2 linked regions of the Callithrix jacchus genome follow. The protein of the gene in region 1 interacts with the protein of each later gene in a pairwise test. Links are inferred from orthologs where the notes say so. Each region holds a gene or a part of one and is shown on either strand. Other genes may lie near its edges.

Region 1 (4,975 bases):
GAAGGCGTAGGACATTACTGTACATCACTGTAGACTTTATGAACACTATACACTTAGGTTACAATAAATTTACAAAAAAAAAGTGTGCTACAATGTTATGACAGCTACAATGTCACTATGATGATAGGAACTTTTAACTTCCATTATAATCTTATGGGGCCATCATTGTATATGCAATCTGTTGTTGATTGAAAATGTCATTCGCCACATAACTGTATTTCCAAGTTTAACTCTCTTTCTTCCATTAAAGTAGGCTTTTCGAGGTCTTAAACTATGTTTTGTTTCCCTCTAACTCCAGACTCTAGCCCAGTGCCTGGCACATAGTATGCCCCTAACAAATGAATTATGAATGAATCTGTAATCTCTCCCCTACAGAGCCTACTATAATAATAAACATTTACCAGATACTCTGTGACTAGGAATGATATAGTAATTGTGACGAAGCTTAATTGTTTAGCTGGATTTCTTTAGCCTCTGAGGTTCTTAAAGTCCATTAACTCTTGAGTAGTCATTTTTCCTGGCAGTAGACTTGAAAGTGGCAGAAAAGTCTAGGAAACAGTACTGTCTTTGTAGATGGCATTTGCTACTTGCAAACAACAAATCAGGAAAACTAACTTGTGAGGTAATCAGATTCTGTAATACCTGAAGAGGAGAGACTTATCAAATGATCTTCATAAGGAGAACAAGGTGAATGCCGAAGAATCAGCTGCTGCTGCTAATAGCAATGACTATTAACATTAATAGCACTTCCACATGGCATGCACTATTATAATTATTGTATGTACATTAATTCAATACTCAAAGTAATCCCGAGGTAGGCACTATTATTATCCCCACTTTCCACGTGAAGACACTGGTTGGAGAGGTTAATTTAAAGGCCACACAACTGTAATAGTAAGTGGTACATCTGCACCTGGAACCCAGGCAACCTAACTCTAGATTTGTGCTCTGAACTATTATGCTAAATTGAACATGTTGGTTTCTATATATAGAGAGAAGTCCCCAAATTGACAGAAATGTGCTTTGAATTATTTTTCTAGCAGTTGATCTATCTCCCTTTTGAACAAAATGTGGAGAAATGAAATGGCTCTGAAAAAGCAGATATTTTCTTTCAGCAAAGCTAGCTGGCATAAAACCTCAGCCACATTAAAATAATCTGAATTAATCTGCTCAAGTAGTGAGAGTTAATATCTATTAAAAATTTATGCCTAAGATTCCTAATGCTACTAGAAATCTAAGCTGAGACAACTTAAAACTCAAATGAGATGCATGAAAGCACTTGTCATCCTGACACCATATTGAGAAAGATGATCAGGTGAGCAAATAGCTTTTCTATTTTGTCTATTTTAAGAATACCTATTTTTATAAGGAAAAAAGTAAAATGAGAAACATTTTTAGATTTCCAAATTTTAAATACAGGCTTATTCATTTAGATTACTTCTCAGTATAATTATTTTGTATATTGACAAAAGAAAAAGACCTCATGGTTGTTTGTTACTCTTAATCCTATATTCTTCTTTCCTAATCTCCATTGAAATTGGACACTCCTTTATGAACCAGACAGTTTTTTTGAAGCTATGGACAAACATATATAGCTTTTATTGTTATCCTCTCTGAAGTCTACTGCCATATGCAGATGAGTAGACAAAAACAAAGTATTTAATAATAAAAAGGAAATGTATAATTCTACTAACTCAGTATTTTCAAATGAATCATATCTGGTTATTTAAAAGTAAAAATAAAATTTTAATACAAAATAACACAGGGACAATACACATGCCTTTTCCCAGATATAGCATGCAAATTATATTTGAAATAGTTCTTCTATATTTTTATACAGTGTAGCATACATATTTGGAACCCCTGAATAGGCATCTTTTAAACAATATTTTTTTATTTCTCCTTTTGATATACTACTATCAGAGCATATTTAGTTTGGTTTGTCTTTGGACCCCAGCAAAACTTCACTAGAGTCTGTAGCACAAAATATCTAAAATATTTTGAGAATAATGTGTTTATTATTTGTGACACTGTTAACATAAAGCATAAAAATAAAGCATAAGGAAGCAGTTTTAGTGGAGAAGAAATTGAAGTTAAACACTCAGTGTTCTAGTTGACAGATACATACTCAGATTTAGACCTGTGCAATTTAAAAATGGTCAAAGGATTAAGCCATTGATAATGAGGTAAGTTTTCTGTGTAACCGAGAATATATCACCATTACAATGCCTTAATAAGATGTTGATGTTAAAAAAAAGCATGTTTATGAATTCTAGGTACTATATCTCCATAGCTAGCATATTTTAAACAGAAATAATTCATTTACTTCAGAGGTACCTAGTATCTTTAGTCCATACAAAAGATCAATTTCTCATGAAAATGACAAAAATTAAGGTGGAGGGTTTTTGGGGAGGTAGGGGAAGGGAAAGAAAGAACCAAATTATATCTGTCTACAAAGACCGTTTTGCTTTTCTAATAACACATTGTGTAACTTTTCTGAAAATAAAATGGTAGTAGTAGCAAAAAGTGAATTTATACTACAAAATGATTTTAAATAGCCTAGATGTAAGAGCTATAAGAAATAGAAAATGATCTTTAATTAAAAGGGTATTAGTCACCAAGACTGCAACATCTTTCACAGTGAAAACTGTAAATCATTTCTCTTGTGAATTGTTTGCAGAATAGCTCAAATCACAAGAGTAAAGGAGAATTTATCATTATAAATGATCAGTTTACCTTCCTTTTGTTTAGAGAAGTGTTTGGTTGCCAGACCTAATCCCTTATATTTTGCTATTCATATTGAACTACTAAAGCAAACACTAGGAAGCCAGGGTGGGGTTTTAAGGGAGGGCACAGCATTTAAAAAATATACTGTAACACATGTGTAAAACAAATGTTCCTTCTAAGTTGTATTTTATACTAAATGTGTATTTTGTGCATTCAACAGGACTAGCACTCAGGAAATTTGAGTGCCACATTTTTATTCTTGAACCAAATTAGTTCAGAGTTCTTGAGCCCAGGAGTTCAAGGCTGTAGTGTGCCATCATGTCTGTGAATAGCCACTGTACTCCAGTCTGGACAACATAGCAAGATCTTGTATTTAATTAAAAAAAAAAAAACCCCAAAAAACAAAACCACATCTATCCATAGTATATGTAATGAACTTTCAGGCAGAAGTTACAAGCAAACCTGATGTTATAGTTTTACTTAGCTCATATAATATGGTAGTGTGGCTTCAAGTCACTTATTAACATGCAAACAACAACTGAAAACTTCCAGGGATATATTCTATATTTATTCATATTTTTTAAAGATGGGATTTTTTATTAAGATAATTAGTAATTATGTCTTTCAATTCAATCTTCATAGTACCATATATAAAAAAGAGAAAAAAACCCAACAATTACATATGTAATACATTACAGAACTTACATAGCATGTACACATTTAAATATATGTGGATGAGGGGTAACTTACAGATGCCACACACTTAATAGGCATTCAAAAATATTTTCACATTCAAAAAGAAATCAATTTCAATCAATAAAATCAATATTACTGTAAATTAAATTAAATCTTACCAGTTGCAGTGTCTGGTATATTAAGTTTGCTTAAGTGGTCTTTCTGTGCTTTTGCTAGCATGCAAATTCTATGAAATTCTTCTTTCAGATCCCAGAAAGTCTTCTCTATATTATCCCTTAAAAAAAAAATCAACATTTTAAAATGTAAAGCTATAACTTCCAAGTTTTTAAAATAATTAATCTTATGTAGTACCATTTTATGTGCCATAAAATAATTATTTAAAAGTTAAAAAAAATTATTTTAAATTCCTAGACAATGTCACCAAAACCAGCTTGTGTTTGTAGAAATCCAGGCACAAATTAAGTGATAAATTAAAAGTTCTAGTACATACATGTAGTATAGTCTAGCATATCTGCTTATTCATATATATGCTAATACTGGACGTCTTATTCTACATTAGAAATTCTGATGCACTGACTTTTGTTCTCTGCAAACATCTTAAATAGAATATTAAATATTCCTCATTTTGGTAAAGTTCACATTAGGATTCATCCATATAAAGAAATATGGCCTTAATATTTGCCAATTTAAACAGTCGAGCTTTAGAGAATTCAAGTTTTAGATCAGCTTTGCTATTAACTGTATGACTTATTTAGGTCATTTTTAACATGAAAGGCCCTGGGGTTGGTCACTTCCACTTATTCTAAAAGGCTGCTATTTTCTTGTAATTGTTAAAGCTTAAAATATATAAATGTAAAACATATTTCAGTATTGATAATTTTTCAGAGTTGGCGAAGAAGGATGTAGAATTACCTTTCATGGAGCAAAGGACTACCAAGACTCCTTGCTGAAGTTTCTTTTCTAGGAGAAGAAACCTCTTGTCTTCTTACCTTAAAAACACAAAATGATTAGTATTACTACTTTAAATTGCTTCCAAATTCAAATGAGATCGAGTAAAGAGAAAACACAAAGGAAAATTTATTTACCTTCCCTACTGAAAATAACTTGAGGCAGTTTATAGATCTATATGTAATATCCAATTGACTTTTTTCTTTAAATAAGAAAAGTCAAGGAAAAAGGAAAATAAAGCAAGAAAGTGTGAAGTGATGAAATGTTTCTGGTAACTTCTATTACTATTTCCAGTACTGGTAATTCAAGAAATTTCTCAAATTCAACTGTTAATCAAAATTGCTGCCCTGTTCACCAAGCACCTCATACGCCCAGAAGCTTAGGAAAGAAAAAAAATCTATGTGTTTACTTCTTTTCATATTCAATAAAAATGGTCTATATATTTAAATCAATGTGTTTGTCTTTTGTTATAGATTCTTTGCTGAAGAATGCAGCTGTATTAGAGGAAGAAAGAAAACCAAGCTATAGCTCCTTATAATTCAACAAGCATTTAAAAGGTTTATAAAGACGGTGCAATTATGTATTTAAGCTGCTTCAACACAAG
Region 2 (4,975 bases), on another chromosome or scaffold:
GGGGAGTCAGGGAGCACTGGGAGCTGGAACTGGGAGGCCTGGGATGGAGAGAAGAGAGCACTAAGAAGAGAACTTGGGAGCCCAAAAAAGCCAGAGTCTGTAACAACTGAAAGGTCACCTGGCTGTACCTGAGTCACCCACCTGTTCTAGTAGAAACCTACCAAGGCCGTACTTGTCCGAATAGTCCACCCACTTGCTGACCCAGAAGATGGGGATACAGGCAGGATCCTCAGCCTCCTCTGAGACAGAAACAGACAAACAATTGGTCAGGACCAGCCTCTTCCCCTCTGGTTCACACATGTGGCCCACACCAGGGAACAGGGAATCTTGCTGAGCACTCCACCTGGGCTGAGTTGAGAGGCCTGGGGTCCCAGAGAAGAGCAAAGCAGGGCCTCTACTGCTAACAGGCTTAGACAAGCAGCAGCACAGACATCTACACAGAAAATCTCAGCACAGAACGACAAGTTCCACTCATTCCTTCATTCCACTGACTGATTCATTTATTGAAGGCCTACTATGCCTGCCAGGCACTGTCACATGTACAGTGAGCAACAGACAAAACCCCAGCCTCCACAGAGCTTACACTGTGGCTGTAGGGACAAAGACTAATCAAATTAAGTATGGGCAAAATGTCAGTGACTTCTATTATGGTAAGAGTCAGAGGACGATATTATCTAGTTTTCCAGTTTGGAATAATTAAGAAACTGTGAAGACAGAAGCCAGTTGCAAACACATCAAAATATTATGTTCAGTGCATGCAACAAATCCCTTATTTAAAATCCAATAAATAAAGATGGATATGTTGGACTATGTTGGGTGAGAAGTATTATGGAGAACTATGCAGCGGGCAAGAGGATGAGAAGCACTAGCAGATAGGCCAGGGAGATGCTCACAGTGGTGACACTGGAGCAGACACTTGAAGGAGGCCACAGTGTGAGCCATGAAAGCTAGTGTCTGCTTTCATGACAGGGCCAGGGAGCCATAGGTGTGAAAGCCCTGAGGTTGCAGCCCATCTGGGCCTGTTATTTCAAGTGTCTTGAAGAAACAATAGGAACTTACTGAGCAAAAGAAACAGCATATGAAGGTGGCATATCAAGGTGCTAAAGTAAGAGACGGATCAGAAAAGAAGGCAGGAGCCACAGCATGCAGGACCTTGGATGTCAGGAAATGGGGAAACCAATGGTCCTATGGAGACAGGGCCTGGATAAGTCACCAGTGCTTTGCTGGCCAAGATTCCTGCCTTCTCCAGATGCCCCAAGCAATCCTGCCCTACACAGGGCCCACAGTACCCACCTTGCCTGACCAGCCCACGGTCTGAGGGCTTTGAGGCATTGACACTATGCAGCTGCTGCAGCATATCACTGAGGTGGCAGTCGACCACCTCACCCGTCTCTCGAACCACTGGTTCCTCTTTTTCCCGGGGACGCTCAGGCAGGGGGTTCTCCAAGCCTAGGAGGGTAACAAAAACAGGGGCGTTGGGAAGGGCACAGGACTCCCTGCCACAGCTGAAACTTTTCTGAAAGAAAAATCTTAGCTACCACTGCTTAGGGGAAACTGAGTCAGTGCCTGGTCAATAGAGCAGGAGCTGCCATGCTCAGGTGACAGGCACACGTGCTAACTGTGAGGCAACAGATCTTCAGATGCTCTAGCCTGTGACCCAACGGCGTGGCCCTGGAGGATACCACCTGCCACCCAGACAAACAGCTTGAAGCCACCAGCAACTCAGAGCTGCCCAGCTTCAAGCAAAGACTTAAAAGCGTCTTCCACATCTAAGCAGATGGGAGGGCTGAGTAGTCTCAGTTCACCCGCAGGATGGATTCAATAGGCATTTAAATAAAAACACAAGAGATTTTTTTCTACTCTAAAATTTGCTTTATATGTTTATAATCAAAAAACGCATGAAAAGATACATGAAATTTTAACACTGGTTATATCTGGGCAGTAGAAGCACAGATTATTTTTATTGCCTTTTTCCTTATTTGTTTATTCCCCTATCAACATTTGCTAGTTCTCCTTGTATAATGTAAAATGTTTCCTAAAGAAGTTTTCAATTAAAAACTATGCCATGATATAGCAAGGAGCTGTTCAAAAAAAAAACCAAAACACTATGCCATCATAGGGACTTAGGGGTGAAATAATAAGATATTAGGGATTTGCTTTAAACACTCCAGCAAGCCCGGGGCAGTTGGCTCACACCTGTAATCCCAGCACAATAAGAAGCTGAGGCAGGTAGACTGTTTGAGCTCAGGAGCTTGAGACCAGCCGAAGCAACATGGCGAAACCCTGTCTCTACGAAACATACAGAAACTACTGGACATGGTGGCACAATACCTGTAAGTCCCAGCTACTTGGGAAGCTGAGATGGGAGAATCACTTGAACACAGGAGGTTGAGGCTGCAGTGAGCCATGATCTTGCTACTGCACTCAAGCCTGGGCAACAAGGCAAAACTATCTCAAATAAATAAATAATTTCCAAAATTCCAGTTAAAAAAAGGCAGGAGGGTGGAATAAATAAAACAAGTCTGGCCAAATGGTGATAATTAGTAAAAATAGATGAAACATGGGATTCATCATACAGTTCTACCTTTGGGTAAGTTTGGAAATTTCCTTAAGTTTTAAAAGTGCTATATGAAAAATTAAAACTGAAAGAAAAAAAGTAGGAGGCTGAGGCAGGAGGATCACTTGAGCTCAGGAGTTCAAGACCAGCGTGGGCAACAGAGCGAGACTTCATCTCTACAAAAAGTTTAAAAATTAGTCAGATGTAGTGGCACACGCTTAAAGTCCTAGCTACTCAGGTCAAAGCTACAGTGAGGTACAATTGTGCCACTGCGCTTCAGCCTGCACGACAGAGCAAGACTCTGTTTCAAATAAATTTTTAAAAAAGAGAGAAATAAGTAATCCTTTAAAATATAGCCCAAAGAATAAAATATCCATGAGTCTATTTCAGACATAACCAAATAAATCAATGGGAGAGAAGGAATAGCACTTCCTTACAGAAGAATTCCAATTATTAAATGTAGAAAAACTAAGGAAAAGAAAAATTGCCATTAGAATATCACTGTAGGTAGGGCACAGTGGCTCACACCTGTAATCCCAACACTTTGGGAGGCGAGGGAGGATCACTTGAGGGCAGGAGTTTGAGACAAGCCTGGTCAACATAGTGAGATCATGTCTCCACAAAAAAAAAATTTTTTTTTTTTTTTTTTTTTTGAGACAGTCTTGCTCTGTCGTGCAGGCTGGAGTGCACTGGTGAGATCTTGGCACACTGCAACCTCCACCTCCCAGGTTCAAGTGATTCTTGTGCCTCAGCCTCCCAAAGTAGCTGAGATTACAGGCGTGCACCTCCACACCTGGATAATTTTTTGTATTATTAGTAGAAGCAGGGTTTTGCCATGTTGTTCAGGCTGATCTCGAACTCCTGAGCTTAGGCAATCTGTCCACCTTGGCCTCCCAAAGAAAAAAAAAATTTAAATTAGCTGGGTATAGTGACCCATACCTATAGTCCTAGTTACTCTGGAAGCTGAGGCAGGAGGACTGTTTGAGCCCAGGATGTTGAGGCTGAAGTGACTTATGATTGAGCCACTGCATTCCAGCCTGGGTGACAGCAAGTTCTAAGAACCATCTCAAAAAAAAATTCCACTGTAATAATTTCTGAAAGGTATATGGAAACTCTGGGGATCTTTTTGTTGTTGCAACTTTTCTATATAAGCCTAAAATAATTCCAAAATGAAGTTTAAGAAAAACCAATACCTAAAAATTGAAAACTGAAAAATGAACTTAAGTTGTACATCAAATGGGTGATATATCCATAGAGAAAAAAAAGTATTTTAAGTGACTTTTTAAAACTATATATCCTTAGTGAAATATACTTTAAGGACAATTAGGATTGCAAGAAAATAAATACCATTTAACAGGAATTCATAGATGTTGAAAATTTTAAGTATATTAATGTATAAGGAAACAAGATTTTCAGTTTAAGAGAAAAGAAATGCAAGTATAAACCAAAGAAGTAAAAACAGATTAACATCGTGTCTAAATCAGACACTTAAAAGTTACCAAAAGCAGTAACTTCCCAGTAGAGAAGATCGGCTATAAGACATATGTATCAATGTTAAATTTCCTGAACTTGGGAACTGTGCCATGTACTATCCTTAGGTAAAAGAATCTGTTTTTAGGAAGCATACACTGAAGCACTAAGGGTGAAGTGTAGGACATATATAACTTTTCGATGTTCAGAAAAAAAGAGAGTAATTGATAAAACAAATGTGGAAAAAAGTGCTAACTGGTGAATCTGGGCAAAAGGGGAGAATAGGAGTGCATTTTTGATCTATGCTACCTTTTTCATAAGCTTGCAAAAATATCAGAATAAATTGTTTAAAAATGTGTGATTAGGAAATATCATCACAGACTCAATGTCAGTCTTCCCCCACTGCTATAAATGCAGTTCCTAATTCTGTTCTCTGAAGAGACCTAGAAGCAATGACAACCTAAGCAATGGCATGCGGTTTTTTGATTTTTAAGAGAACGTTCATCTTTTTTAAGAGAAGCATTCTGAAGTTTATATAGGTGTAAAATGGCAGAGAGCCAAGGTTAACTTTAAAAAAGACTTCAAAGGACAAAAATAAATAAATGAAGCAAACTTGACAAAATCCTGATAACTAATTACTGAATCTAGTAAGTATGAGGGGATCTATTACATTATGCTCTATACGTGTACTTGAAAATTTTCATGCTGGCTGGGCGCAGTGGCTCACACCTGTAATCCCGGCATGTTGGGAGGCTGAGGCGGGCAGATTACTTGAGCTCAGGAGTTCAAGAACAGCCTGGGCAATGTGGCAAAACCCTATCTCTACTAAAAATACAAAAAATTAGCCGGGCATGGTGGCACATGCCTGTAGTCCCAGCTACTTGAGAGGCTGAGATGGGAGGATGGCTTGAGCCTGGGAAGCAGAAGTTGCAGTGAGTCGAGATCACA

What was found.
Region 2: the proteins of TANK (region 1) and PLK1 interact in binary tests that used the Homo sapiens proteins (3 or more experiments, as listed by UniProt). The link is inferred for Callithrix jacchus from reciprocal best matches to the Homo sapiens genes TANK and PLK1.

The regions. Positions count from the first base shown.
Region 1 is NC_133507.1:68,573,891-68,578,865, forward strand, and holds part of TANK (TRAF family member-associated NF-kappa-B activator), read right to left. Parts: intron 4,413-4,975; coding exon 4,336-4,412; intron 3,698-4,335; coding exon 3,582-3,697; intron 1-3,581.
Region 2 is NC_133513.1:24,292,896-24,297,870, reverse strand, and holds part of PLK1 (serine/threonine-protein kinase PLK1), read right to left. Parts: intron 1,450-4,975; coding exon 1,294-1,449; intron 240-1,293; coding exon 162-239; intron 1-161. UniProt on the Homo sapiens protein: Serine/threonine-protein kinase that performs several important functions throughout M phase of the cell cycle, including the regulation of centrosome maturation and spindle assembly, the removal of cohesins from chromosome arms, the inactivation of anaphase-promoting complex/cyclosome (APC/C) inhibitors, and the regulation of mitotic exit and cytokinesis.